6 separate regions of the Mus musculus genome follow, and regions 2, 3, 4, 5 and 6 are each reported to be linked to region 1. Evidence: microRNA targets listed by miRTarBase, many of them from high-throughput screens and not tested one by one. Region 1 holds a microRNA gene; each other region holds the end of a gene's coding sequence. Distances are between the middles of the regions.

What was found. Region 1 holds the annotated microRNA mmu-miR-7b-5p (UGGAAGACUUGUGAUUUUGUUGUU, at 2,958-2,981, shown strand). A microRNA usually pairs through its seed, bases 2 to 8, with sites in the 3' UTR of a target mRNA and lowers its output. Matches are read on the target gene's strand: a 7mer-m8 pairs with bases 2 to 8, a 7mer-A1 pairs with bases 2 to 7 and ends in A, and an 8mer does both.
Region 2: miRTarBase lists Tafa1 as a target of mmu-miR-7b-5p. Seed matches in the 3' UTR shown: 7mer-A1 at 4,368-4,374 and 7mer-A1 at 3,738-3,744.
Region 3: the mRNA of Naa30 is a reported target of mmu-miR-7b-5p. The part of its 3' UTR that is shown has no 7-base or 8-base seed match.
Region 4: the mRNA of Lims1 is a reported target of mmu-miR-7b-5p. The part of its 3' UTR that is shown has no 7-base or 8-base seed match.
Region 5: miRTarBase lists Trip10 as a target of mmu-miR-7b-5p. The part of its 3' UTR that is shown has no 7-base or 8-base seed match.
Region 6: the mRNA of Zbtb43 is a reported target of mmu-miR-7b-5p. Seed matches in the 3' UTR shown: 7mer-A1 at 3,991-3,997, 7mer-A1 at 2,445-2,451 and 7mer-A1 at 1,098-1,104.

What each region holds. Positions count from the first base shown.
Region 1 is chr17:56,240,060-56,245,133 of GRCm38, forward strand. It overlaps Mir7b (microRNA 7b), which reads left to right and starts at 2,929; the gene lies at 2,929-3,039. It overlaps A230051N06Rik (RIKEN cDNA A230051N06 gene), which reads left to right and starts at 1,657. Exons shown (of 2, transcript NR_155493.1): 1 at 1,657-1,755; 2 at 2,097-2,746.
Region 2 is chr6:96,654,154-96,659,227 of GRCm38, reverse strand. Tafa1 (TAFA chemokine like family member 1) reads right to left here. Exons shown (of 5, transcript NM_182808.3): 5 at 2,030-4,461. The coding sequence ends at 4,444. Among named protein-coding and RNA genes, the nearest start is that of Gm26011, 96 kb to the right of the region's middle.
Region 3 is chr14:49,187,298-49,192,371 of GRCm38, forward strand. It overlaps Naa30 (N(alpha)-acetyltransferase 30, NatC catalytic subunit), which reads left to right. Exons shown (of 5, transcript NM_027492.2): 5 at 253-3,591. The coding sequence ends at 390. Among named protein-coding and RNA genes, the nearest start is that of Naa30, 18 kb to the left of the region's middle.
Region 4 is chr10:58,421,120-58,426,193 of GRCm38, reverse strand. Lims1 (LIM and senescent cell antigen-like domains 1) reads right to left here. Exons shown (of 11, transcript NM_001193303.1): 11 at 1,503-4,740. The coding sequence ends at 4,739. Among named protein-coding and RNA genes, the nearest start is that of Ranbp2, 23 kb to the left of the region's middle.
Region 5 is chr17:57,262,638-57,267,711 of GRCm38, forward strand. Trip10 (thyroid hormone receptor interactor 10) reads left to right here. Exons shown (of 15, transcript NM_001242389.1): 15 at 363-1,060. The coding sequence ends at 511. It also overlaps the pseudogene Gm46575. Among named protein-coding and RNA genes, the nearest start is that of Vav1, 14 kb to the right of the region's middle.
Region 6 is chr2:33,449,455-33,454,528 of GRCm38, forward strand. Zbtb43 (zinc finger and BTB domain containing 43) reads right to left here. Exons shown (of 3, transcript NM_001025594.1): 3 at 833-5,074. The coding sequence ends at 4,243. Among named protein-coding and RNA genes, the nearest start is that of Zbtb43, 17 kb to the right of the region's middle.

The DNA of each region.
Region 1 (5,074 bases):
ATTCAATCCTGAGAGATGTGTGGGGGCAATGGAGCTGGAGGGTGAAGGCACTTGCTGTGGGGTGGCCTGAGTTCTATCCCTGGGACACATGTGGCAGAAGAAGAAAACCTACTCGTGCAAGGCTTTCACAGAGCTCCAGATAAGCACCATGGCGCGTGTGTGCACATGCATGAGGGTGGGCTTTCACACACCGTTTCACTTTCTATTGATTTGTATGTGCGGACATGGAACACAGGACCTCACAAATGTGAGAGAAGAAACCTGCCAAACAGCTTCCCGTAGCCCCAAACGATTCTCCAGCGTGGCAGTGGTGATGCCAACCTTTAATCCCAGCACTCAGGAGGCAGAGACAGGTTGATCTTTCTGAGTTTGAAGCCAGCCTGGTTTACACAGTGAGTTCCAGGACAGCCAGGGCTACACAATGAAGCCCTGTCTCAAAAAGCAAACAAGCAAGCAAGCAAGCAAACAAACAATAAAAAGAACAAGAATTCTCCAAAGGTTTAAAATGAATTAAATTAAATGTGGGCTGCAGGACCCACAAGCTCTCTGCTGACTTCTATGCATGTACTGTGCATGTGCACATAAATAAATAAATAAATAAATAAATAAATAAATAAATAAATAAATAAATAAATCTTATAATTTCAGGGAGATGACTTAGCTCTTTGAGGGACTGCAAGGCTCTGGGTTCATATCCAAATTGAAAGAATGGGAAGAAATAAGAGAGAAAAACAAAGGGCGTGGGGCATGCAAGTTTTACCCAAGAGACTGCTAGAAGGGAAAGGGACAACTGATCAGAGCTTAGATCTTGCAGGTGGCTTTCCAGGGTCTCATCCCAGGTTCCCTGCAGCCCCTCCTCCCATGCCCCTAGGGTGTATAGAATGAACCTGGCTTGCCAGCTCCGCAGCCTGAGGAGCTGGTAGGAGATTTACAAGCCTGAGTGTGTGTCCTCCCTGACTGTCTGTCCCTTTGGTGCTACAAAGGAAGCTATGTAAATGAAGGTGTGTGATGTGCCACACACCAGCCTTCCCAGTGCTGAGAAGGCTGAGGCAAGAGGATCACAAAAGTGAGAGAGACTGTGTTAGAGGGGGGAAACTGTGACTAGGGCTCAGGGACAGAGCGCTGGCCCAGCAATCAGAAAGCACTAAGTTCCATTCCCAGCACTGCATCAATCTAGTGTGGAGGCAAACTCCTGATGGGAGCCTGAGGCAGGAGAATCATAAGTTTGAGGTCATCATGGACTACAAATCAAGACCCTAACTCAAAACAAAACAAAAATCGCCAGAGCTCCGCCTCTATCCTACGCTTCTGTGAGTCTCATTCCCGCACACTTCATCTTCCCTGTGTAGAATTGGACTTTATTTTCAAAATCCCTCAATTTCTTCAAACATTTTTTTTCAGCTTCTCTGTCCCAGCAGGCACACGCTTGATGATCGCTAATCCTCTGGCTACTCAGTGATCAGGTTTTAGATGATCCTCTCGTGGAAACTTAACAGGCCACAGGACTACACCCTGACACCTTCTGGAGACCCCTAAAGAAGTTTTTGGACGGATGCCTGACTTTTATTCTGAAGCCGAGGCCTCAACCTATGAGGTAATCCTTGGAGCTTCATTCCAAGACGATTCCTATTGGTTCACTGGCTAAGCCCCACCCAGGGTTTCCAGCGCTCCGCCTTCCCCTTAAGCGCATAAAGGTGAAACGTCGGAAACTGGACAGCCACCGAGACACCTGCAGCTGCTGGTGAGCAGGAGAAGGTAAGGCACGAAGGAAGGAGGAAAAGGTGCGCTGAGGGAGGGAAGCGGGGACTCTGGGTACAATGCAAGTTGGCACATCTTCCAGAAGGCCAACTGGACTGTTTAGGAAGGGCAGAGAACCCAGGGCTGTCTCCCTGAGATGTGGGAGCAGGTGAGAGCCTTGCGCCTTCGTCCCCGCCTAGAACACCCCGGGTCCATGGGAAGAGATTAAAACAGAAGATGGGTCCCTAGGACGAAGAACAGAAACAAGGAGCGGGGCATTTTGGCAGAAGGCAGAAGCTGGGAGAGTGTCCTCGAGCCGCACTGACCACCCCCTCCCCCAATAACTAATTATGTTTCAGCACTGGAGACGCGGACAGCGCCATCCGGCTGAGGGACTCGGAGCAGAGTTCGGCTTCAGCACCAGGATTTCGGACAGCTCCCAGCGGGTCACGAAGAGACTAGGCTTCAGCACCCGGCCCCTGGCAGTGCCAAGCTCTCAACACCCAGCTTCAGGGATCGCCTTGGGGTCTGTTCTGGCGGAGAGTGTACAGGGAAGGAACCTCTTAATGGTTCTTGGCATTTGTCCTTTACGGAGGGATTTTTTTTTTCTTTTTTGAAACAGGGTTTTTTTGTGTGTACCTCTAGCTGTTCTGAAACTCACTATGTAGACTAGGCTGGCTTCAAACTCACAGAGTACAGGCGAAGCATTTGGTCAACGAGATGTTATGAGTGCCTCTGGGTGTACTAATTTCCAAAGTGAAGTGGTGAGGGGAAAGCCAGCCTCAATCCAACTTTAAATCTCAAGTTCTTTTTATTTTTAAAAAGAGTTTTTCTCTCAATTATATATATAATTATTATTATTTTAAAACACTGTAGACCAAGCTTTGAACTCCTTGTGTAGCCAAAGATGATCTTGAAGTTCTCATCCTCCTGCCTCTACTCCCTGCGTGCTGGGGTGACAAGTGTGTGCTCCTCGTGCCTGGAACAATAAATCCCACGTTGGTGATGTGCCAGGGTGTGAGTTGGGGGGCAGGTAGAGAATGAATCTTGCCTGTGTCTCAGGGGATGGAATGGAAAAGGGATGTCTAGGGAGGGTAAGTCAGTGAGTGGGGTTTGTTATGCTCAATCCTCTATGGAGAGAGAGAGAGAAGCACTTGAGGGTGTTGAACCTGGCGGAGGAGGATGAGGACGAGGAGCGGAGTACGTGAGCCAGTGCTATGTGGAAGACTTGTGATTTTGTTGTTCTGATATGATATGACAACAAGTCACAGCCAGCCTCATAGCGTGGACTCCTATCACCTTTCTCCTGAAATACACAAACAGGTAGGGGCAGGAAACTGGGACAGGAGGGGGTTAAGGGAAGTCTAGCACGGACAGGAGAGGGTGTCTAGCAAGGTCTCGGGCCCTGGGAGAGTGCAGGAGTGTTTCCCATGCTATTGGCCTGTCACTCAAACACATCTACATGATAGGATCAGAGACACAACCTCAGGGCCCTGGGTCACAGCACCGTGCTTTCTCTGGAGACTCAAATAGGGAATGGTGAGCCAGTGGAGTAACTCAGAGGGAAAGAGTGCTTTGAAATTAGGGAACCCAAGCTTGAGCCCCAGGATCAACTGGGTAGAAGGATAAAACCAACTCCTGCAAGTTGTCCTCTGACCATACATGTCCTGTGACACACATGCTTCCACACACAAATAAATAAACACACATAAAAATTTTTCTTTTTTTTTTTTTTAAGAGAGGGTTTCTGGGGCTGGTGAGATGGCTCAGTGGGTAAGAGCACCCGACTGCTCTTCCGAAGGTCCAGAGTTCAAATCCCAGCAACCACATGGTGGCTCACAACCATCTGTAATGAGATCTGACTCCCTCTTCTGGTGTCTGAAGACAGCTACAGTGTACTTACATATAATAAATAAATAAATCTTTAAAAAAAAAAAAAAGAATTACATTTAAAAAAAAAAAAAAAAGAGAGGGTTTCTGTATATAAACCTGGCTGTCTTAGAACTTACTCTGTAGACCAGGTTACCCTCAAATTCAGAGATCCACCTGCCTCTGCCTCCTGAGTGTTTGAATTAAAAGCATGTGCATACATAAAACTTTTTTTTTTTTTGGTTTTTTGAGACAGGGTTTCTCTGTATAGACCTGGCTGTTGCTCTGTAGACCAGGCTGGCCTCGAACTCAGAAATCTCCCTGCCTCTGTCTCCCAAGTGCTGGGATTAAAGGCATGCGCCACCACTGCCCGGCCATAAAACTTTTAAAAGAGGGATTGGCATCAAAGGTACTTCTAGAAAACCCTGAAATTCTTTTCTCTTTCTTGTTTTCTTTTCCTCACTCTTTTCACTTTGCCTGCTTTGAGACAGTGTCACCTGTAGTCCAGGCTTTTCTCTAACTCTGAATGTAGCCCAGGATGGCTTTGAACACTGAGTTCTCTTGCCTCCAGTCCCTGAGAACCATGCCTAGCATACACGGTGTTGGATTCAGAATTTCAAATGCTTTGACTGGGTACGGTACCCATGGAGCCCCAGCCCAATTTTCAATAAAACTCTGTGCCCGCCACACAAAGCAACCACTAGTTGCATGACTGATACCAAGAAAATGTGGACTTGTTGTCTGGTGGGTCATGGCATTCTTAACATTCAACACCTATCATCTGTGACATTCTAATGCAGTCACTAACCATCCCCCACTGTGCAATTCTCCCCAGCTGTCCTAGTGTGCATCCTGGTGCTGTGACAGGACCTTGACTCAAGAAAAGGGCAGGAAAGAGTTTATTCAGCTTACAATGATGGCCACACTCCATCACTGAGGGAAGTCAGGGCTGGAACCGGGAGGCAGGAGCTGATGCAGAGGCCATAGAGGGGTGTTGCTTACTGGTTGCTTACTTGCTTCCCCTGGCTTGCTCAGTCTTCTTTCTTATAGAATCTGGGACCACCAGTCCAAGGATGGCACCACCCACAATGGCCTTAAATCATTAATCATGAAAATACCTGATAAAGGCCTTTTCTCAATTGAGGTTCCTGCTTCCCTTAAGCTCCACCCGTGTAAAGCTGACATCAAACTCAGTCACACAGCAGCCCAGGGGCTGCTTTGTCCATGCAGTTTCCTCTCTTGGGTCTGCACAGTCCACTCACATAACCTCCCATAACCAACTCTGCCTTCTCCAGGCTTCAGCTCGGTGGGAGAAACTTCCTGTTACCTCACTGGTCAATTAGGACAAGACTTTGTTAACATTCTCAGCCTCCTGCAACGGCCACACTATTTAGGAAAGGCTGATACTCTCAAACAGAATGTTTACAGATCTCTTCTGGGGGACTCTAAGTGGGGCTCCACCCCTGAC
Region 2 (5,074 bases), not on the chromosome of region 1:
TGCTCCCTTTCTTTAGTTCTGCCTATTATCACATCTCTTTTTGTATTTAGAAAATATATGGAGATACCCTCACAATTTTACTAAACACTAACACTTCGGTTTAGAAGGAAGCAGCTCATGCAAAATGATAATGACACATTCCTATGTCAAACAGACCCTAAGAGCTTTTGAAATGGAACTGCCAAGCTTAATTAGTAGAGACACGCTGTATGTGAGGAATGGACTATTCTACTCCTATAAACAATATTTATAACCTCCATAACTTACTGTATCAGTGACAGTGGCAAGGTGGCGTAATATATTGCACTATAAAAATCACTATATTGCTTTGTGAAAGCTACACGATTTAATCAAAAAAAAAAAAAAAAAAGATGTTGGCTGTGTGTTGGTGAAAGCACTTGTCACTCCATGCTGGAAAAATGCTGAGTAGTTAACTTCTCAGTGTGCTTGAGGGGTTGATGAAGAGGTAAATCCAAGATCTCCAAGTGTCAACAAATGAACTTGACTCGCTTTTAAAAGTCTTTGACTTAGAGCAAGCTTCACTTTTCCTTTTTTCAAGAACAGAACTCTGGCTGAAGATATATATATTCCAATTATGTTACCACATTATTCATGGTACATTGGGCATGAGCTTAAAGCTGTTATTAGTCATACACATTGATCCCTTTACTATCATTCCCACGAGATAAAAATTTGTGCACCCCAAATGTGCAGGCACAGTAGGCAGATGGTAGGTACCAAATTCCCCAAACTTGAACAAGTTAAATGCAAACACAATTTGATGGTTCATACATTTGTGTAAGTGACTTGGATAAATCCAAATTGAATCTGACATTTACAAACATTTGCACTGTCTTACTGGATGGCTGCCTGATTCTGATATGGTCTGCTTTCCTGCTTTTTTTTTTTCCTCTAGGTTTCTTCAGAGGATACTACTACATAAAGTCATGGATGCGGGTGAGCTAACAAATGTAGCCCTTTAGGCTAGCTCTTACATTGAGTTATAGCTTCTGGTTCCAGAGCAGAAAAACATGACCCACACATACTGTGTGTTAGCAGAATTGTCTTCCAAAGTAAAGTTTTGCACAACAGAGGAACCCAAACAATGAATTCATGAAACTCTTAGGCAAATGGATGCATCTGGAGGATATCATCCTGAGTGAGGTAACCCAATCACAAAAGAACACACATGATATTCACTCACTGATAAGCGGATATTAGCCCAGAAACTTAGAATATCCAAGATAAAATTTGCAAAACACATGAAACTCAAGAAGAAGGAAGACCAAAGTGTGGATACTTTGTTCCTTCTTAGAATGGGGAACAAAATACCCATGGAAGTAGTTACAGAGGCAAAGTTCGGTGCTGAGACGGAAGGAAAGACCATCCAGAGACTGCCCCACCTGGGGATCCATCCCATATACAACCACTAAACCCAGACACTTGCATATGCCAGCAAGATTTTGCTGACAGGTCCCTGACATGGCTCTCTCTTGTGAGGCTATGTCAATGTCTGGCAAATACAGAAGTGGATGCTCACAGTCATCTATTGGATGGAACACAGGGCCTCTAATGAAGGAGCTAGAGAAAGTACCCAAGGAGCTAAAGGGGTCTGTCAGCCTATAGGAGGAACAACAATATGAACTAATCAGTACCCCTCAGAGCTATGTCTCTAGTTGCATATGTAGCAGAGGATGGCCTAGTCTGCCAACAATGGTAGGAGAGGCCCTTGGTCTTGCGAAGATCATATGCCCCAGTACAGGGGAATGCCAGGGCCAGGAAGCAGGAGTGGGTGGGTTGGGGAGCAGGGTGGGGGGAGAGTAGGGTTTCGGGGATAGCATTTGAAATGTAAATGAAGAAAATATCTAATAAAAAATCCCCCCCCAAAAGGAGCAGAGCCTGGTTTCTTCTCTTCTCATTGGACTTTCATCTGGGATCAAAGTCAGAAGACTCTAGGAGACACAAATGTCATAACCAAGTCAACCCTTCAGAGACCAAGACTCAATAATAACATTTGCAGCCATTTTAATGAACTTGGCTTATTTATTAGGACTGTTAGGGACTTTTATGCAAAGCTCTTGATTTCTGCATTTCCCAAAAATCTGAAGATATGGCAATGTGGTTATGGTAAATTCACCTAGAAGTAAATTTCTGTAGGCTCCCATTTCACATGATCCCCTATTGATCACAATGATGCCCCGCCATGCTGGAATCCTGATTTACTTACTTGTTTTTGTTTTGAACCAGGCTCTCTTGTTCTAATCTTCCTTGATGTGATACCATCTTTGGGTATACTAAAGGTTCTACTAAATTCTGTGGCAAATATTTCTATTTTAATTTTTCCTCAAGTGTATAATTCTGAGAGTTCATGGTTTTAATTTTAATCTGAAGTTGACATATGAAAGGTTGTTTTTACCAGCATATTGCTTGGCCCTTGAATCAGTGCTGTAACTAAGAAATGAGTGCTGTCACAAATGGTTTTCTTTGTTTTGGGGCAGGGGTCTTGCTTTGTATCCCAGGCTGACTTTGAACTTGCAATCTTCCTACCTCCATGTTTCAAGTACTGGGATCTCAAATGATGCCTAGCTATCACTTGCCACCACACATGGATACTGGTATAGATTTTGTTATCTTTTAGCAAATATCCACCAAAGCATTTGGAAGTCTCAATTTTACAGTACGGATTCTATTTCTATCTCTAGATGCATTCATTTTACAGGCCTTCACAATACAGAATCAAAAAAAAAATTTTTTTTTTTTGGTTAGAACTTCACACATTCAATTAAACTTCAGGCTTTCTGGGTATAATAAGAGGTAATCTTGAGTTTTACTTGAAGTTTGATCCTAAAAAGTACAGACTTAGGGACTACAGTGCTGTGATTTACTAAGAGGCTCTAAAAACACAGATGACAGAGAATAATTTGGGAAGAAAAAAAAAACCCTGCAGTTGTGAGATGACATCGGAGTGTAAAATCCCATTAAAATTTTCCCCAGGAAAACTAGACCTTAAGTAGGTGTTTACCTCTTACCTCTCAGCTCAGTAACTCGAAAAAGACAGGGATAATGGATTTTAGGTTTTTGTTGTTTTTTACCTCTCATTGGTGTGTGTGTGTGTGTGTGTGTGTGTGTGTGTGTGTGAGCCCCATATATATTATCAGAGTGACCCACATGGAATCCCAGAAATTGTAATTGGATATTTTACTACAATCATATTAATGAGTTTCTAAGTTTCAAAAATATTATTGTTGGAAATAATAGCCTCCGTAGTCTCGTGATCTCTCGGTTTAGTTAAAAGAGAGTCTATAAAACTAAATGGCAGACAAAGAGGACGAGTGGGTTAAGAAAGAAGTTATTTACCACTTTAATAGGGCTGTCCAACACTTGGTCACATAGATCATTGGGAAACCTAATTGCTTCCATAGCTTTCCTATCTCATCAGAGGAGAGATGAACACTCTAGGAAAAAGCAAAGCAAACATAGAAAGAGGCGCCATGATAAAACGTGTCGCTACAGCACTATGGAGTTAACAATGGCAGACTTTGGATTTAATCAGAGGACACTTCTGTAGTCTAGGACAGCTATACAAAGCCCTAAGACACTGTATTTACAGGACTTATTAATATAGGGATCTACATCCTACCATCCTGCCAGAGTCTTAATAGCACGGTGGAGCAGCTCCCTCAAGAATCCCCATTTGCTTATCTGTGGAAAAGCTAGTAGTTCTAAAAATATTTTCCTGGAAGAGGTTAGAACGGTTATTATATATCAATCGAATATAAAGTATGATTATGTAAGCCAAGCTTGCATGCTAATATTGCACAGGATAGAAAGCAATAAATCAAGACAAGGAGCTTCCTTGGGTCACCAGGTAGAAACAGGGGGAAGCTCTTGACTCAGTACTGTTAGGATGCCTCAGCTTCCAGGAGTCGGCTTGCAGCTGGCCTTCCAGGGAGAGTGCCATGTTGGATTTTCACATGGGCATGTATCTTCCTTACCGAGAGAAAAAGGAATGGCAAACAAAACAAAACCGACCAAACATCCAAAACTGAAAGGGATACACCAGCCACCTCACATTGTGGTACTGTTCATTTCTTGAAGAGAATATATAATATTTCAAAATATTATATATACATATATATTTCAAATGGTACAAAGTAATGTTAGTTCCAAATTAGAAGACAGTTGATCGTTCTTCATGATCCTCCAAATTTCACAGAGAAAACTCATTTTTTTTTAAAAGCCATTTTCCTTGATGTTGCCAGAAAATCCCGAGTCTTCTTCTTTTGGGATACTGTGTATCAGAGTAAGTGCACTGTGGTTATCTGGTAACCAAAGTGCAGATAAGAGATCCACTTGGCTTGCAACTATGGAAGATGTTTTAAATCCTCACAACGTATATTCCACAGGTTGTTCTTTTTCCTATTTATATAACAAATGCTTCTGTTAGGTTCTTGGGTGAATCTGAAACCAAAGAAAGAGAAATCTCAGTAAGTGCAGTAAGAAATGAAGCCATAAAGAAGGGTGTTCATGCAGAAAATGAGGGTGCCTTTAATTTTATTGTGTTGCTTTATTTGGATGTCTTTCACATGATACTCAAAGTCCATAGACAGATCTTTCATGTTGTAATAAATCCATTAAGTTCCTCTGTGTCAAAACTGAGCACAATTCTTAGAGAAATGTCTATCAAGAACTGGGTTCATGGGGATACAATCTCTGTTCAGTTCCAAGGGTTTTGTGCCAATAAGGACCCCACAGTTGGTTTATTTCCTTATTGCTGTTGCCTTGAATTTACTAATAAATTTTTAATGAGGATCTTGCATTTTCTTGTTGCCCTGGGTCATGCAAATTATGTAATCACTTTCTGTTTCTATGATTAGAATTTGAACTGATTATCCCATAGCCTTATGAAGTTGTCCTATTGTAAAACATTGAGGAGTGGCCATTGGAAAGTTCTTGTCTAGGTTAGTCCATGTGTGTGGAGAAACAGATGAAGAACTATTCTGTCCAATGACAAGTGTTAAATAGAATCAAGAACATGCCTGAATATATGCGTGCTACTTAATCCATCTCAGTA
Region 3 (5,074 bases), not on the chromosome of region 1:
CTCTTTCTCTTTAAATGACACCTGTTTTTCTCCACAAAAATTAGTTCATTTTTGTTTTATTATAAACATGTAGTTCAATTACTAAAAATGGAAGCATTACAAAAATAATTGCTTTTCTCATTTTGATGACATTTTCTGTATGCCAGTTTTATTTTATCATAATATTTAAACTTTCAAAATGCTTGATCTGGTTATATACTTCCTCAGCTTTTAAGTGTAAAATTATAACTTAAGTTTTTTTCTTTTTTGAAGGTTGTTTTGGAAACAGAAATTACAAATAAGTCTGCTTTGAAACTTTATGAAAATCTTGGTTTTGTTCGAGATAAGAGGCTGTTCAGATACTATTTAAATGGAGTTGACGCACTGCGACTTAAACTGTGGCTGCGCTGAGGAACTGACAGCAAGGAACGACTCCACCCACACGGAAGCGACTTTTGCATGCAATGCAATTTGTGCAGAATTGCTTTGCAGGTGGATTTAGTGATTCCCATGCAGCTGTTATCTGTCAGTGTCCATTGAGTGTTGCACAATATTTGTTGCACTTTGGCATGGCGCATTTGTTCTGAATTAAATGAGATTGTTTTAAACTTCAAGAGTTCTGTTGGTACCAGCAGGATGTGCCAGTTAATAGCCAAGACTTGTTCATTTGCAAAGTCTGCTGACAGTGCTATTTATATAGTGATCATTTTATCACAGAACCAGTAAGTGGGACATGATTTTTGTTCCTTCAAGAAGCCAATGTAGATTGTAAAAGTCTCCTAAGTATACTAACATTTCACACAAAACCTGCCATAGTTTTTTGAAGGGGGTGAGGGAAAAGCTTCAATTTAGGTTTTATTTTTTCAATATTAAATTTTCCATCTTGAATATTGGTACCTCAGTGATTAGTGGATGAAAAGTGTAGGGTGGAATTTGTCTTATGATGAGTAAAGATGACAATTAAATTGCGTCTGCCAGTGCCTGTGTAGATAAGTATTCTTGTCTTCATCTCTAGTTTTTGAATGCATGCTCTTTTTCTTTTTCTTTAATACCTTTGCAAGCAAACTTGTTTTTATTTAAATTCTAAATTTGATAATAAATTATTTCAGATTTTTATCATTTGGACAGTTTTTCTAGGTGAGTGGCAGTACTTTGCTTTAGAAGGAAGTCCCTTCTTCCCTTACAGTAAGAAGCTGACCCTACTTGGGAAACTGAGAAATGGCTTAAAGGGATGGAGCTGGGAATTGTGGGGTTTGGATGCACTTTTTTGTTTTTGTTTTTTTGAGAATGGGGGAATTTTTGAAAACAATAGAAAATTAATGTAAATTGGTATGATCTTATTTAATCAAAATGATTGATAAGCTGTGAAGAACAGCTTCTATAAACTAGCTGGGTTTTTTCTTTTTTCTTTTTAACTTTATTTGAATTCACATTGCTTCCATTTCTGAAAATACTTCACTTTTGGTTTAGTGTTAGAAATGAATTTCAAGGAGCATTGTATCCATTTCAAGCTGCATTTATTTTCTTTTTACTCATGAGCAGATTGTTGGGGGACCTTTGCTTTGTTCCTCCAGAAAAAAAGGAGAGGGATGAAACATTTTTTTAATGAGTTCTTTGGGTTTTCTGAGCAGCCAAGGTGTTTATTAGTTACAGTGGATTTTGGCTAATCAGTGTAATGTTAGCAAATTGTAGCTCCCTGCTTTGGGTTGAGTTGGTAAAGCTGTGATGAGTAATTTATTTAACTAGGATACCTAAGCACTCATAAGGAACAAGAGTCAGTTTCTCAAAAATGCTTATAGGAATCTGGCATTCATGTTGTTTTTTTCTTTTGAATATACTTTTCTTCTACTCTAATACTTGGTTTGAATTTTATTTTATGGCTGTAATTACTGTATTTTTAAAAACCCTACCTCCATTAACAGTTGGTAAAGGCCCCTTTTCAGGAAAGTTTGTTGCGCTTTTTTTGTTTGTTTGTTTTAAAGGAAAGCTGCTCTTTGCTCAGTATAGTATTTTGGAAGTGAACATGGTAACAAGTACTTTTAAAATAAAGATGCACAGTTTATATTTGAAAATAAAAACTTCCTGCTGGTGGGATCATTTATAGTTCCTTATTTTTAAGAAAATGTGTCTTTCCATTTTATATTGCTCCTTAAAGTTTAATATTAAAAATGTGATAACCACATAGTACTCAGCTTTTCTGCTGACCATTTTGAATCTGTTTTGGTCAAACTTCATTTGGGTCCCAGCATTTAGAAGAATGCCAGTCATCATAATGCCTCTGTTCTCATTTTCAGTGTGAAGGAAAGTAGCTAAACAGTGTACTTGACATCGTCAAAAGTTGTTTTGATTTGCTGGTACATAGGGATGACTTGTTGAGGAACATACATTTTCTTGACTCACTCTAATGGATATAGTTGTAAAATAGATATGTGCTAGACTTACCAATTCAAAAGTTTTGTTCTTCCTAGGTTGTCAGGGAAGTATCACTACTACCCTTCAGTTCAGAATTGCTGAAGTAACTGATTGTCTGATGATTTGTGAACATGATCTTAACTATGTGACTAAAATATCAGATCATTACAATACTGCTCAATTGATGGATACATGTTGAATATCAGTGTATACTTTGATGTTTTTAATTACTTGACCCTTTTTTTAAACCTAAAATTTTAACCTAATTTGATAACCTAGTAACAAAACTTTGCAAGTTGAATTGCTTCAACTTTAATTTGACATTAGGCTTTCAATTCTCTTTTATCAGCTTAAAGTGGTTCCATTTATAATTGACAGTGGGTTCACTTGGCTAAAACTGAGCAAAATTGGTGCAACTTTCTTTTAGTGGGGTGCTGCCTCTTTAAGACTGACTGTACTATCTATCCACTGACACTGGTTTAGCAGTTGATACTGCTGAACATTTAATACATGCTACCATGAAGCTGTATATGTTAGTATTGAAGAAAGCTAACGGGTATGCTACCAGTCTTGTAATTTCCCATACATTGGGATGAAACTACTTAACTCGGGAATAATCCAAGTCTACAGATCATAAAACATATTACTGCTTGATGTTGAAGTCAGCAAAATAAGATAAAAATTGATTTTACCATTTTCTGCCTCCTCTAATACACACGTAAGACAAATCTATGTAAAGGAGTTTGTCATGTTTTAACTCTTACCATGCCCTGTGTTAAGGTCTTGGCTGGTATATATGACTAGATGTGTATGTTTATTATGGTGTCTAAAAATTATGAGGTTCATTACTTTCTAGGACCATACAGGAAATCAGGTTGGCAGTACACCAGTTACTTTTCAGTATACGTCTACATTACTAGGATGAGTGCTATAATGTCCAAGGGCTTTCAGGTTTGTAAAAACATAACCATAAGTTACATTGTCATCACATATGAGTTGAGTATCTATGAACTATCACGTGTATCTCAAAAATATTGGACTGCTGTTTAATGACTGGGGATATTGCTGCATAATTTTCTCCTATTGACCCCTATCCTTTTGGAGAGAGAGATTTGATGGGATTTGAAATGTGCAAGCTGTCTGAATAAGATACAGTCAAATAAAGTATGGTTAAGTTGTGTTTGCATTTTTCTTTAAGATACAGCTGTGTGCATTCTATAATTTGGTTTCAGATAATCAAAAAGCAACCTGTTCTATTTCTCACTGCCCTCTATCAGGAGTTATTTGGAAGGAACGATATAGGTGCTATCTCTCTACTTTATATTCTGACAAAGTAAATTTGGAAATAAAATAAAAAACTTGATTGCTAAGTGTACTTGTTAGTCAACTGGGCTAGCAGTACCAGGGAGAACATTTTTAAGCATTCATCAACTGAAAGTAGTTTGCTTTTTATCCTTGCTCCTAGCAACTTATTCCTAAGTCAGTTTTGAGTTTTACTGTTTGTACAAACCTTCTTGTGTAAGTTGTATTTTTTCCCCTTTTGTTAAACACTGAAGTGGAGCAGGATCTAATGGGCTTTTTGACCTATTCTTGGGAGAAACTTGAGTGGGTAGTTATGTATTCTTTCATATTTGAAGTACTGAGGATCAGTGGGAGGACGAGATCATTTAATTGTGACTGCTCAATTTTGTCATTCTTACTGAATATTTGTTCTTTATAATAGTGTGAAACTTAGATTAAGTTTTGATCTTTGTAGCAGTGTGAAGCATCTAGTTGAGCTCATGTTGTACTTGGACCCAAATGTCTCATAGAATAGTGTAAATGAGGGACAGAAATGTGAGACCATTGGTGTCCAGACCTTGATGATTTATAAACAACTTTAAAAAACCCAAAAAGCACTACAGCGTATAGCGGAGTTGTCTTCTTCTTTTTCAGATGAGCTACCCATGTGCACTGTTCACAATGATGGAAATGCTCTGTACACTCTTGAGGATGGGGCTACTAGTCGTCCTTCACTCCTGAGCTCCCAAAGGCTCCCAAGGACAGAACTCATTTTACTTATGTGACATGAGTTGCCTGTGGCTGTTGGCTCATGTATGGAGAGCAGGGCTTTAGATAATATACATCTGAAGAAAGCTTATTGAGATGTGAATAATTTAAAGTTGCCTCTGAGCAAAAGCTCTAACTGAGCTGTTTGTATGTTAACACTTTTCTTTGTAGTGTTCCTGCCTCCTGCCCCTTGTGTGAATGACCCTTTGAAAAAAACCAATTCTTGCATCTTACTGTTGCAAGTGTTTAGAATTACAGAGACTATAGACTCAAATGCCAGAGACTGTTCTGAGATGATTAACACATTTTAGCTTTGAAAACCTGTAGCATTAGGCCCAACGGTTTATTTATATTAATTTGAAATAATATCCCTTTTAAATAAAATAGATCTCATTTTATCAATGGTCAACCTGGACTATGGAGATATGTCCTATTTAAACATTTTAAATACTCGATGAGGCTAAAGGCAGATGTTCTTAGTTCCAACAGGTTAATTTTGTCTGTTTTCATGGAATATCACTTCATCTTCACTGATCATTTGGTTAGCTGTAGTTCAGTAAAAGGCAGCAGTGAAGATGGCGCCTCCCAGAAGAGTACTTGGCTTGGTATAATCGTTGGTGAGCTCTCAGGCTGT
Region 4 (5,074 bases), not on the chromosome of region 1:
CTCAATTCCATGGCTAGTTTGATTGGAATCATGGGCCTACCCAGTCCTCTTGTCCCTTTTACAGACTGTTTAATTAACTGGTTATTAAACTCTTTCAAACGAACAGCCTTCGTACCTGAGGACCCAATGCTACCCCTTTTATAATGGGTCAATGTGTTGCCTTTCCCTCAGACCACAGTCTACACTCAGCTCTTCCCATTGGCTGAGCCCATCCTGCTGAGAAGATTCTTATGTAGCCACAGCGACAGCTTTGGAAGGCCCATTGCTTTACAACATACAAGGAAAGGGTTTAATCGACTGAAATGAAAACTCTTGTTCTTGCCCCGTGCCACTCTGGTGTGATGTGATTGTGAACCTTGACTTTGTAAACCCTACCCTGCTTCACTTCAGAGTAAGTGTACTTTATGGCAGGAGCCTGCTCTGTCACAGGCTTTAGTAAAGCACTCTGAAGTGGCCTTATATTCATGGTGGTCTGTAATCTACTCATGTGGTTATTTCAAGGGTACACAAAGGAAAGTCCCAGCTGTCCTGTGAAGAGAGGGAAATCCAAGTGAGAGCTGGAATTCCACTCAGTGGCAGAGCGCTTACTGGATGTTAGGGTTGGAATATGGACTATCTCCATGAGGCTCCAGTGGGTGGGTCTTAAGGGTTATAGCCCAGAAATGATTGCAGCCAAGGCTTCCCTCTACTTCTTGATCAGCCCAGATGTGAGCAAGCTGACACACACTTCCTCATCACAAGAGACTCTTCATCCTTTAAATTGCTTCTTGTCAAGCATTTGGTCAGTGTGCAATGAATTGGTATATCTACCAAACACAAGGCCAGGTCTGGAATGGGTCCCTAGAACTGGAAAATGTTGTTTATTCTGACATCCAACAATTTCTGTGACATTGTGGGATGTTGTCTTTGGAGTAAGACAGTTAGTACCATTGTAATCATAGCTGCTGATTACTTGCAAGACCCTGAGCAAAGCAGTTTCCTTATAGGAGGTGTGTGGGGGAGGCCACTAGACCTCATTTGAGATAGGAGCTACTTGTTCCCTCCTGCACGCCCTGAGCCCAGATGTAAGTGATTCTGCTCCAGAGGGGCGTGTTGTGAGAGGCACTAGAATATGTAGGAGGAAAGGTAACTGAAGGGTGGGGCTCCATTTACGCAGCTTTGGAGGTTGTCCCAGTGCTGCAAGGATGCAGCTTTTCTATGATGCAGCTGTCCTAAAGTTATCCAAATTCTTGTAAGTAGCCTTCACCCAAACTGCTGGAAATTAGTTCAGTGAAATCACCACATCAGCAAACTATGTGGGTAGAATGGTTCTCTGTCTGGGATGAGTAGACATTTATCTGTGTTGCCCCAGGAAAAGTTAATACAAAAGGTGCTAAAACTTGGCTTGTATACCATACCCAGGCCATTTTCTTTTACTTACATATATGATGTTTCTAACATATTATACTAAATGAATATTTGAATTCTCAAAGATAGGTCAAACTAAATGATATGTAACACACTATGAATAATTATGAATATTTATTAAGCACCAAAAGTACACAGCAATGGTTGCTACATAAAAAGCACAATTATTGATATAATTTCTTGCCATTAAGCTTACAATCTAAAATAAAATACAAGGATATTGTCAGCCTACATCAAAGTTTCCCTAACTTGAAATTGGCTAATTTGGCAAATGGATGAGGCAAAATGACCTATTTCAGGCAAAGTGTTATAATAAGGCTTTGAACATGACACAAAAAATCTTTTTTGTGTATCCATTTTCCATGTTATATTAGGATAAGGACAAAAAGGGCACTTAGAAATTTCATAAGCACAATGAATTATTTCAGATTGTTCTCAGAAATTCAAACAGATGTTCACTGACAAATGCCAGCAGCCAGTGAAACCCCACAACTAATAGGAAGTAGATGAAGTCTCTGTCTTGGCCCCATTTAGACCTCCATCTTCCACACTAAGGGCTCTAATGATTTACCCCACAGTGAAAAGCACCATCTCTAGATGAATTACCACATAATTATGAGATCAAACTTACTGGAATATTCCTGTCTGAAGAGAAGTGAGCAAAGACAGCAGTGGGGACTCTGGCTTAAGCGATGTCACGTAAGCAAAGGCAGTCAGGCAAGGCCACACACCTCGAAAGGGATGGGGAAAGCACGGGAATGAGTGCTTTTCTGCTCCATACTTCCAGTGAGGTATGTAAGTTACATCAAGACGCTAGACTACAAGTTCTATCTGCCTAAACGCATGTACAATAGTTCATAAATACTTCTAAGGTAGCCACTGCTAGTCATTCTTAGCTGACAAAGGCACACGGAAGAAATTTTGGTTCTTATTGTCAAAAGCAAAGACAAATTTAAAATGCTTAACAAACACAAATCATGTATATTTTTAGTCACATATAATTCTCTTAATATGAAAAGGATATTAGGAAATAAAATGATTGGTTACAAGTTAGTTATCTGGAAACAGAAATGTATTCCATAATGTGCATAATCAAGTATTTTAAAAATTCATGATTATAAACTTTTAATGGCAGAGTAACAGCATCCTGAGATATCCTTTTTGTGTGTACACATCCATATTTCTGAATGTGTGCATGTGTGTGTGTGGATGTGGAGGCTAGGGATCAGTCTAGGCGGCCCTTCCTCAGGAGGCATCCACCTTGCTTTTTGGAATACAGGATTTCCCCCTTGGATCTGGGGCTCACTAGTTAGGCTGAGTTTGGCTACCTCGTAAAATCCAGGGATCTGCTCCCTCCAAGTTTAAACTCAGGTCCTAAGGCTGGTGTGAGTCCATTACTGACTGAACGTTTTCCTAGGCCCCAGAGATATTCTTTACGGCAAAACAATACACTAGTGTTTTTGTTTGTGGGGATGTTTTGGGGGATAGTATCTCACACTGTAACCTAGGATTTGTCTCCAACTCCTGGTAATCTTTCTGCCTCAGCCTCCCAAATGCTGAGACTACAATGTGAGTCATTATATTCAGCAGTATTTGCAAAATATATCTTGGCAACTGAAAAAGAAGGTAACATGTTAGCAGCAGAAAAATTTAAAAAATGTTCATACTCTTGCATATTGAGTTCATACAAACAGAATGGCCCAGACATTTCAGGATAAACAGTTTTATAAAGTAGAACTCCCCAATTTTTCCTTAGAGTTGATACTCTTACCACCCTCTTTCAGTCTAAAGGTATCATTTATACTGCTTTACTGCTTTATAGTAAACAAAACCCAGTTATGACATTTGAAATAAAAAAGCCTTCATTAAAATGTTTTAGTATATCAGCATAGTTCTAATAAGAGGACAGGAATTAACTTTCACTGGCTTCCTGAGAAAAGAATTTTTAAAGTATGTATCAGTGGTGAATGATTCTAAATTTATGAATCTCAATCAAAATACTCATTTTGATATTATAAGAAATATCTAGAATTCCTGATATAGGATGCAGTTTTCTAAGGCAAGGCAAGTTAGATTATGTATGAAGTATAGATATTAGCACAAAGATAATACGAGATACAGTCATTCTTTCTGAAACAAGGTTTTAATATGCAGCCCTGGGTGGCCTAGGACTCACAGAGATCTGCCTGCAGAGAGCTGGGATTGAAGCCTAGTGCCACCACACCTGGCTCACGCTCACTTTTGAAAGCCATACATTCGAAGCTGCATTATAGTGCATTTCATGTCCCATTTGAATACTATGCATTTTATGTGTAATATAGTTTTAAAATGCTTCATTTCCCCAACATCACAATGTATGCAATATTTTCCAGATAACTGGCAAATTTTTGTTTTGTTTTGCTTAAAAATGTAAAAGATGCATTAGTAGTTACAAGTATGTTAAGTAATTTTATGAAGGAAAAATTTATAAGGAGAACAAAATAGAAAACTAAGCTTAGTGATTTAATAAAAAAAGAAATCAGTCATCCTGAAATGTTTTTGCTTCTTAGTAATATGCATGTTCCTTTTACAATGCTAACTGGATAAGCACATGACAACATAGGAACTGTTTGGGCACTTATCTTCCCATACAGTTCCCAGTATATGAATGGGAAATGATTTTCTTATGCGATCAGGGAAGCAAAGCTTATGTGAGTCCCGTGAAAGCTGACTCTTTATAACAGTGGTTGTCTATTATGTTTATTAACTGTGTGTTGGCGCATATGCACCATGGCCATCTGTGGAGGTTAGAGAACAACTTGTGGGAGTAAGTTCTTGCTCCACATGACCCATGTGGACACTGTCTCAGATACTCTCTTAAGGATTCAACTTAGTACTAGGCTGGCAGCAAGTGCTTTGGTTGGTCCATAGAGCAGGGTGTTTAACTCTGAAGTTAAATTTATATTTTGGATGGCTTAATTAAAACTACCCTTTAACCTTTTTTTTTTGTTTGTTTTTGTTTTTGGTTATATACTTTTAATGCCTACAGACTAATATGGCTAAAGAAATGAAAGTCCTGATTTCATCTGTGTTTTACATAGAAATAAACATTTTCTTTCGTTTTTAAATGAGAAAAGGGAAATGAAGAAAACCATTCTAATGCTCTGACATAGTTTTAAGCAAGGGTAGATCAGGTTAAGTAACATTGATTAGAAGAGAGAGAAAAAAGACACCAAAAGTTATTTCCTTCCTAAGGTCTCAGATAGTTTCTTAAGTCTTTTCTTCAGCTCCAAAGGAAATTTCTCGTAGCACTTCTTACAGACTGGCTTCATGTCAAATTCCACAAATTTATTCCTAAAGGGAATTATATATAAAAAAGAAATTAGTGGAAATATATTCAGCACACACATGCACAATATATACACAAACATGATAAAGTGACATAAATTCATGAAAAGACATAAATGAAGACGCAATGTAACATAGTATATAAAATCTCTATGTACATGTCAGTAAAGAACTGTAATTCTAATGTCAATTCTTATTATGATAAATGTCAAGAGTGACTGGTATCAGTTGAAAATATGCTTATACAATGGTTCTGTACCCCTACATTTAGAATATGTGATGTTTTAAGCACTGGGCCTTCTCTTCATCCCAAATAAAGTCAATCAAACTTTAAAGCATC
Region 5 (5,074 bases), 1.0 Mb from region 1:
TTTTCTTATTTGAAACCATTTTTGTGTTGTGTGTGAGAGAGGTGGGTTCCCTCCTACTGTCTATGTCCTCGGTATCAAACATGACAGCTGGCATCTTTACCCACAGAGCTGCCTCAGACTCTCAATTTTCCTTTGTATAGTACAGGACCCCAACCAGTGGGATGGTGTTGCCCATATTCATGGTGGGGCTTCCCATCTTAATTCAGACAATCTAGAAGCTCCCTCTCGGACATCCCAGAAGTTTGTCTCTGAGATTAGAAGATCCCAGGTTCCCCTTACACCAGGGGATGTAGCAGTTGCTTGGAGCCATGCCTTCTGATCAGATTCATCAAATCTGACCTGCCCCCGCTACTCCCCAACAGGATCCAGCGAGGGAACCGTCTCCATGTCCGAGGGGGAAGACCTCAGCCTGATGGAGGAAGACAAGGGTGATGGATGGACGCGGGTCAGGAGGAAACAGGGAGCTGAGGGCTACGTGCCCACCTCTTACCTCCGAGTCACACTCAACTGAACCCCACCAGAGGGGGACGAGGGGCAGGGCTGTCAGCTGCTGCTTCTGGGCCACAGGGGGGGCCCCCAGGACCTTGCACTTTATTCCTGCCCACGTGGCTTTTGGCTGAGACCTGTGTAACCTGCTGTCCCTCACTCACCTGTCACCTGTCACCCTACGGGGACCCACTTGTGGCTTCCCACGTGGTTGTACATATTTGTCATTTAAGATCTTTCTTCCCGCCGCTTGGCTTGAGCCAAGTTTTGTTTTATATTAAAAAAGTATATATAATTATATAAAGTTCTTGGAGTCTGCACCGCCAGTGTCGGGAATGGACCTTCAAAAGGCATCTCTGTGGAGAGGTGGTTTGGGAGTCGGGTTTTGGATGCTCTTGCAGAGGACCAGGAGTTGGTTTTCAAAAGCAGCTCCCAAAGCTCACAGACATCCAAGCCTAGGCCCCCTCTGGCCGACTCTGGCAGTCGCACTCATACCTGCATGTATCCTGCCCAAGTTAAAATGAGATAAAAGCTTTCTTATGAGCCCCGTGTGGAATAAATGGAGGTGAACCTCGGTGCGCTCTGGCAAGCCTGCCTTGTGCATGTTACCCATGCTTGTGATCTCCATGCTCTAGAACAGGCATGTCTACCTTCCGTTTCCCTAGAGTGCAGAGATTTCCCAGCTGCCGGGATGAGTGGTTCATACTGGAGCGTGAGTGTTGTTCTGTGGATACTTGAGTGGGTTTATTGGTAAAAAGGAGGCAGCTGTTACACCCCAGTCTCTTGGGGTCCATTTTTGTACCCCAGTCTCTTGGGGTCCATTTTTGCACCCCAGTCTCTTGGGGTCCATTTTAAGAGGAAGATTCTTATAAACTTGGACCTGGGAGGGGAGCAGAATTCAAAACAATTTCCCCATAGTTTTCATAGAGCCCAGGCTGGCCTCAAACTTATGTAGCTAAGGATGGTCTTGAACTCCTGATTCTCTCATCTGCATTTCCCAAGTGCTGGCGTGATGGATGTGGGCACCAAGTTCAGTTTGTAGCCTCTTGAATAGCTGGAGGCAGTGTCCTTGGGGTCCCGCCAGTATAAGAGGGATGGGGGATGGGCTCTCAGCCATGAGGTTCTTAGTTGATGGGACAGGATGTGATAGAACTTCTGTATGCGGTCAGCTCTGGCAGCCTGGACTCCCTTGTTCCCCCACAGTAGGCAGTACAGGAAGTTGGTGGTCAGTGTCTCCCATAGTGCTGGGTTGGGTCTGGATCCTGTAGGCAGAGTCAGGTGCCCTGGGGGTGTGGCTCAGGCCTCTCCCATACCTGTCCTTTAATGCTAAGAACTTTGACCTGGTAGGAGCCATGGGGGAGTGCCTGGGCAGGGGTTAGCAGAAGGGTACAGGAGAGCAGGTTGCAGGACAACCATGGGGCACAAGGGTGGCCAGTCTGGATGCTCAGTGCAGGGGTCCCTGCCTTAGGGGACATGCCTGGAGGGTGGGATTGAGGGGCATGTCCACCCAGCTTACCCCTTTTGAGGGTGGAGACATCTGAGGTCTTAGAAATGACCCAGCATAAGAGTCTTAGCAGTTGGGTTGGGCCCAGCAAAGAGATGGGATTCTGACTAGGGAAGGGGTCTTGGAGGGGATGGATCCCAGTGATCATCCGGGAGATCTTCCTAGGCCAGAGGTTGGAGTGAGACACCATGGTTGTAGCTCTGCTGGCTCAGTGGTCCCTTTTATTGTGGGAAGCAATATTTGGTGTTCATGACTGCAGTTAGACCCCTCTCCAGGGGTGAGGCGTCCCAGCTGGGTGAGACTGGAAAGCTTAGCCTAAGAGGCCTCCAAGGGACCCTTGTTCACCTTGCAGGCGCTGGGCAGCCGCCCTGCGAAACAGGGGTGCATCGTGGGCCACCTTGGTCCAGCCGCCCAGAGGTTTCTTCACCCTCCAGCAGGCGCACTCTACTGGCTTGCAGGGTACTGTGGGCAGAGTAGGATCTGGGCTGGGGACTGGCATAGGGCAGAGCCTAGGTGGAGCAAGGGCGTGGTCAAAGACTTGCGGGGAGTGGAAGGGCGGGGGCGTGGCGAAGTCAGGGATAGGAGCAGAGCCTAGGGAAGGGGAGGGTGCTTAGGATTAAGGAAGGATTTAGTTAAAGGAGGACCTAGGATGAGGCCAGGGAGGAATCTAGGACCTAGAGCAGGAGCGAGGAAGACTAGAGTGACTCGAAGAAATGGCAGGGGAGGAGCCTAAATAGCAAGGAGGGCTGGGAGGGGAAGCCTGGATCTGGGAAGGAGGCTAGGACAGGGGAGGAGCATATGACAAAGGTGGTAGCACAGAGCAGGAAGCCTAAAAGGGGGGGGGGGGGGAACTTAGGGCCGGGAGAGGATCAAGGAGCAGAATAGGAACCTAGGGTTGGTGGAGGTGGCTAAGCAACCCACTTCCTGCCTTCCCTCCCATCACAAACTCTCCTGCTGTCCCCAGACCCTTGCGTTCCACCTCTATAGAACTGAGGTGTTGGCGCTGGCCGGGGAGGCCCCTGGAAGAGCTCACAGCCGCTCTGAAAGGCCTGGTGGAGTTGGCACTGGTGCTGAGGCCAGGAGCGACAGGGGATCTGCTAGGACTGGCTGGAGTCATGGGTGCCCTGCTCATGCCCCACCTGAGTTGGGAACAGGGATGGAGAGGAAGCCATGCAGGGTGTAGGTGACAGGAAAGAGAGGGTGTAGGTGAGATTCCTGTCTCAGTATCCAGGTGTCACAGGCTTGAGAGCACCTGGCGTCATCTACGAAGGTGCCACATGGAGGCTGCGCTCTGGTCTTTAAACAAGAGCTAAAGTCTCTGATGCAGGCTCTAAATGAAGGTTCAGGTGAGAGGCCTTGACTGTGCCTTACCTGCCTAGAGCTGTTTCTTAACCTTAGCTCTCCCTTCCTAGTCACCTTCCTTCTCGGCTTCCCACCACCAAGCCTCTGGCTCTGGATAGCTTAGTCTGGGAATTTTTCTCTGCGTGCTGGGCACTGGGGGGGGCGGGGGGGGGAGTTCGCAGGATCTGGGGGAGCTATTTGGAGGCCAGGGAGGGTGACCAGAGTGGCTTAGAGGGAGCCTTTGCATGAAGCTGTCCATCAGAGACTCTGAGACTGTCTGTCATAGTTCCTAGGTGAGGCAGACCCTTCAGCAAGGTGGGTTCACTGTCTGCAGCGTGCAGGGCAGATCCAAAAGCAGGGGGTGCTTCGAAGACAAGGAGAAATAGGGTTGTGTACAGAGAAGGCAGCTCGGCAGAGGGGCTGGGAATGAGACGCAAGCCGCTGGCTTTCCTGCTTCAGCTACTGGTTCAGCCCAGTAACTGAGGACGTCTTCCCAGCGTCTGCAACCTCAGAGATAAACCTTCAACACTTTGGGAGCGTTCTGAATTCTGGATACTGGCTTTAAATTTGAAGGTGTTTGTGTCTGTGTGTTTGTGGGTGTGCACACACATGTATAAGGACGCCAGGGGATGGCATTCCAATTGTCCCTCAGGCGCCCACTGTTTGGAGAGGTGTCTGTCACTGGCCTGGAGATTCCTGACTAGGTCAGGCTGGTGAGCCATTGAGCCCTACCTGTCTCTAATAAAAATGTACCAGCAAGCTTGACTTTTTAAAGCATGGGCTCTGAGCTCAGGTCCTCATGCTTGGGCAAGCACTTTACCCCCTTGTAGCATCTCCCCAGCCTTTTTCCTTCCTTCCTTCCTTCCTTCCTTCCTTCCTTCCTTCCTTCCTTCCTTCCTTCCTTCCTTCCTTCCTCCCTCCCTCCCTCCCTCCCTCCCTCCCTCCCTCCCTCTTTCTTTCTTTCTTTCTTTCTTTCTTTCTTTCTTTCTTTCTTTCTTTCTTTCTTTCTTTCTTTCTTTCTTTTTCCGAGAGAGAGGGTCTTGGTGGATAGTGTAGGTTGACTTGAATCAGAGACCCTCATGACTTTACCTCTCTAGTAGCTGGGCTGACAAGGCCCAGTGCATACACACACTCGAATGCACACTTATGGCCCTGTGTCAGTACAGTAGAACCTCTCAGTTGACCAGAGCAAGAAACCAAGAGGTGGGGCCAGGGGACTGAGCTCACTTAAGGGAGAGTGGCAGAGCCAATCTCTGAGCCATTGGCACTTTGGGGACCCCTCACCTGCTCTGGTGCCATCTTTACCTCTTCCTGAATGGTACAGACCTGCTGTCTGACTGGAGCTCCCCTTGCTAGGCCTAGTCAAAAAAGGTTTAAAGGGCCGAGGGACCATCCTGAGAGGAGAAAATGCCACCAACAAATATCATCAATCTGCCAGCCACATCCGCGATGGCATTTCTCAGTTCTTAGTTATGAGACTAGACCAGCAGAGGTGGAGGCAGGGGGATCAGTAGCTCAGGGTCATGCTCCACTACACAGGGACTTTGAGTCCATCCTGGGTCCCGTGAGACCCTGTCTGAAATACGACAGAAGAACCCTCCATACCGAGTACCTGAAAGGCCTGGCTGCAGCCCGGCTGTCTGTGAGCACATCCTCACTGAGGCTGAGCATCAGTGGCCTCTGATGACTTAACAGGCTTGGAGACCACAGCTCCTGTGGCCTGGGACAGTGGGCACCTGCAAG
Region 6 (5,074 bases), not on the chromosome of region 1:
ATGGGGCTAGGCAGGGTCTTCCGGAGGCCTTCCCTGCCTAGAGACCGCTAAGTGAGCCCAGGCAATCCGGAGCTGGCTTCAAAATCAGCAACAGGGCGGTGGGGGTGGGGGTGGGGGTGCCTCACAACAAACAGTGGTAACAGAAGGTTTGTGTGGGAAGATGGTCTAAAACAAGCAGTGTCTGTGGTAATGAGCTGTTGTGAGGAAGTATGTGGGGCCTCCGAAGCAGGCTGCTGCTTTTCCAGGGCTGGGCTTTTCGGGGAGAAGGGGATGCAGGAAGACAAGGAAAGGGCCCGACTGAGGCACATGGGGACGTTACAGAGCACAGAAGCCCATAGTGTGCGTGGGGTCCCAATGAGAAACAGCCAGCAGGGCGGTGAAGCACCTGAGGGCTGGCAAAAAAGCAGGGAGACGGGTCCAATATGGAACTGGAAGGGACAAGAAGAGGGTGTGGTACCAAAGCTTACTGTCTGGAACTGTGGCCTAGGAAGGAGAGGCTGCCCACTGCCAACATGCACCTAGAGACAGCTGGGGGGTAAAGCCCCTCCCTCGGCTTCTCCATCACACCCCTCCCACCTGCATCTTCGATGGCTCCTGACCACAAGCCAAAGGCCAAGGGGCCAGTCAGCCTCTTCCCAGGGGGAGGATGGAACCAGGCAACGCTTGTGGCAGGCCGGTTTGGATGGGATAACCGTCGGCAGCCATTCTGAGATCAGGCACTCATGACACCTGTGAACGGCCTGTGTCGTCTTTACCTATGGAAGGGTGATGATACAACTTTAAAATCAGACTACGAAAGCCAGAACCAAAACATGAGTGAAAACAACACAACTTTGTACAAAATGGACAGGTAACATTTATTAAAACTTGTCATACAAAAGGACATGGTCTCTTCTATAAGAAGAAAATATTAAACGGTAACATTCAATTAAAACCACGCTGTACACTGAAGACAGCAATTCTAGAAAGAACTATTTAACTTCTAAAACACAGGTGGTTCACAAATATCCATGATATGCACCTAATGACAATCTGCTTATCATCCCATGGTTCTGTGGTCTAAGAGTCACCTGACTTGCATAAATAAAATAACTTTCTGGAAGAAACATTGGGACCCTCATAAAAGGAAAGGAGGCAGCAGCAACTGACATGACACAGGCTTCAAGCAACATTTAAAATGAAAAAAAAAATCACATTTGCAAAAGGTGTTCCAGCATCTTCCCACAGGGCACTATCAGTAGAGGTTTGCAAACTAGTACCTTTAAATATGTAAATAGCAGAGAGAGAACAAAAAGAAAAACAAAACCCAAAGCAACCCAGGATTCTCTGGATAAAGTTAGTTTTACGGTCAAAGCAGCCTAGTTCCCAGGAGGCCAAGGATAGCCTGGCCTATGGCCCTCAGCATTTCCAAAGTATCTGAGAATTTAGGGAGCAACCACATCTGTGGGCACAGCAAAGCTCCACCCCGACCTTGGGGACTCAGCCCCAGTACACCTTTTCCAGAATGTTCAACTTCTCAGGGTACATCACCCACGGTAGCACGTAGCTTTCCCAACAGCTAAAAGGCGGCCCAGGGTCAGAGTGGTTCAGGAAACTCCTCTCTCCTGCAATGGAAGGGAGCCTTTAGGGCAGGCTCTGAAGATGTAGGCGGAGGTGGTGAGAGCAGAAATCCCAGGTCCTGGGCCAGGGCTCGGGAGAACACAAGGTAAACCACAGCACAAGAGGAGCTCCTGTGACGTGTGCATCCCAGATTGAAGGCATGTGCCTGCAGATTAGGAAACGCAACCAGTGGGGCCTTGAAGCCCTTTGTACTCGGACTGGAGACAACCAGCCAAGGCTCAGAGTGGAGACATACATTGTACTGGTGGGCAGTGCTGCCCACGACTAGACTAGTCAGGCTCTTCTGGAAGGGTGAGGATTTATTTCCTAAGGCAGTGGTGAGGGGAGAGGCTGGTACTCTAACAGGGCAGGCTGCCAGAAAGGCTCTCTACTGGGAAAGGCAGGTCAGAAGCCTTCTGGACCGTGGACACCCCACCTTCTCACAGGGTCTGCCACATTCCAACTGAACGAAAGCTTTGTCAGCTTTTGACAAAGGTTACTGACTCAGTACAACCCAAGGACCAGGCTTGTTTTACCCCCCAAACTCTTCCCTGCAAAGGTCTCAGCTCTTATATGAATAGACTTCAATGGGAGACAGCACATGGATCTGCCCAGCAGGCAGAAGGCATGAACATGAGGGTTGCTTCTGACAACAGAACAGCTTAACTGCCTCAGTGTAGAAATACTAAGAAGCCAAAAGCACTTCATCCTCACCAAGCTCAGGGTCATCCGGAAACCCACTGGCCTCTAATACGTGAAGGGTAGGAGGCGTGTGAGTGTGACTGTACATCTGTATTCACTTCTCAGGGACAGGGACAGGGACAGGGCTGCTGACTGGCAGACACTGGAAGATCTGAATGTAGCAAACCACTAGGAGGTAATACCTAGTTTCTAGATTTTAAAACAAAAACAACCCTACATCTATACTTATAATAAAGGTTTAATACAAAGTGCTTTTATATGCCAAGACTGATACAGTGTTTGTAAATAGATCCCTGTTTTGTAATCTTGATCACAAACATTTACTGGCGAGTCCATATTTTCTTTTTTCTTTCCTCTTTCCAGACAAAGGTCAAAGGTACATCCTTTGTGTCAGGGCCTGAAGACCAGAGGCTTTTGCCAGAAATGTCTGTCATGTTAGAGAAAGCCAAACTTTAAAAATGAAACAGATGATAATATAGGAGCAAACCCCTGCCCTACTGTCTAGCTCTGTCTGACACAGCCTAGAGCCAGAGGGAGTCTCTGCTGTGGGAGTGGCCTGTGGGCGTGTCTGGCCAGCAGTCTTGACTGTCAATGTTCAAGTTCCTGCCTGGAGTTTCCTCACTGACGGTGGTGTGAGCTGACATAAACCTTTTCCTCCCTAAGCTGCTTTGGCCAGTAACGCAAAGCACACCAGACCCCTACCCAGCAGGAGCCTCAGGCCCGTCACAGGCTTAAAGCTTTCTGAGCTTAAGCTTTCTTCCCAACCTAAAACATCTGACCATGCAGAACAGACCTCAAGGACAGCCTTGTCCTTGCAGAGATGGTGTATGTATGTATGTATGTATGTATGTATGGTGTGTGTATGCATAAACTACTGGGACTTGTAAATGCAGCTTTCTCTGTGACTGGGGAACATGAGTCTGTAGATGACGTTGCTTAATGTAGGGCTCCTTCCCCCTCTGAAGCCACAAAGAGCTGACAATATTGCTCAGCGCACCCTCTAACTGAGCACTGTCCACACCAGTGTTTTTAGGATTCCTTTCTCAAGCCTTCTGTGTATAAGTTGCTGCCTCTCACTTACTGAGTCTGGGAACGTCTTGTTCCTGGAGAACCCTCAGCCATCCATTCTGGCTTAGTCTCAGGAGCTGTGGTCCCTGGCTGCCCTTTTGGGTAGCACCATGATCTAAGGCAGAGGAGCCACAGGTCACTGCTAGCCAGCACTGTCGTGTGACACTGCAAACTGGTCTTCCCCTGCCATTAAATGAGGGAAGCGTAGGACAACACACCAACTAGAAACACCTATCTCTGGCACCCATAGACTTGACCAAGTAGAATTAAACATAAAATCGTGCCTTATCCAGAATCTGCAGCATGGTGACAGTGTCTCCTGCTTCGGACTCTGAAGCTCCGCCTGACATCACCAGGGCTTTAGCTAGAACCTTTAGAACGGTATGAAAGTAGACAAAAAAGAGCTCTGCTCACAGCTCAGCCCAGGAGTCCTTGCTGTAGCCTTGAGGGGAGCAGCATCCAGAGATGCAGCTACCAAAGCAAAGCCCAGAAGCCCTGTAGCTACCAGGAGAGAACAAAATGCAACAAGACCTCAGGACAACAGTGACAGCCGGCCGCTGCCACCTGGGCAGGACTGGGTTAGATTCTGCCACCCAGTCCCCTGCCTTAGCCACTGCTGACTGGAAGAGCTGTCTTGCCAGCTGGGCACTGGGTGAACTTAGCCCCATCATCCATTTAGGCCAGGATGAGAACATACAGATTTGAGAAATTAAATCTTTTAATTGGCCTACTTAGAGCTGGTCTTTCAGAAATATCTTTTTTTTTTTTAAGCCTCTCTCATAATAGCAAGTGGCACGCATCATCTGTGCCCAGATTTGCATTAATTACCATAGTTTATTTTTATGCATGCCACTCAAGGGCCAGACCCTATTTTTAGTTAGCCTCAGTTGTATTCTGCTCAGCCTTTGCAGCTTCATAGGACTTGGTACAAGAAGTCACATGCCTGTGGAAACTGTCCCTCCACATAAATCTCTTTGCACAGATATTACACTCGTAGGGCTTTATGCCTGTATGAATTTTCATGTGGCCCACGAGATGGTGCTTCATTTTGAATTTCTTACCACAGACACTACAGCCATACGGGCGAAGACCGAGGTGCATGCTCATGTGTCGATCTCGCTGACTTTTGTGCGTGAAACTTTTCCCACACTGACAAGGATACAGCTTGTCGGTGGCCGAGAATCCTAAGTGGGACGCCTCTTCTTTTATCCCCATCGCCATTTCAATATTCTCACTGTAGCCTGCGGCAAGGGCAGCCTCCTGTTTGTGTCCAATTAGATTCCCACCCAACTTTTCTCCAGAGAACTCTTCCATGGAGGAGCCATAGAAGTCCACCTGTTCATCATAGCTGCTGCCTTCTGCTTGCTCATCAAACTCTACTTCCACTTTCTTTTCCACAATTTGGAACTCCTCCTCTGCTCCCGAAGGCTGGGCAGAGTGATCCGTCTGCATGGTATTGACGGATTCAGTGACCTGGTGCTCATCGTAGGCTGCGTGAACATCCATGCCATCCCATGCCTGTTCCAAGCGCTCAGGCTTCACGTGGATCCAGCGCCTATGAGCCATGATGCTGGGCTTGCTATACAGAGGCCGGGTGTAGTGGAACTCAGTACTGTCATTGGTCCCCTCCTCCCCGTCCTGGCTGGCCATCTCTGTGCTCAGTCGGTCGTGCTCAGTAGACGAGTTACTGGGCAAATACTCGTGC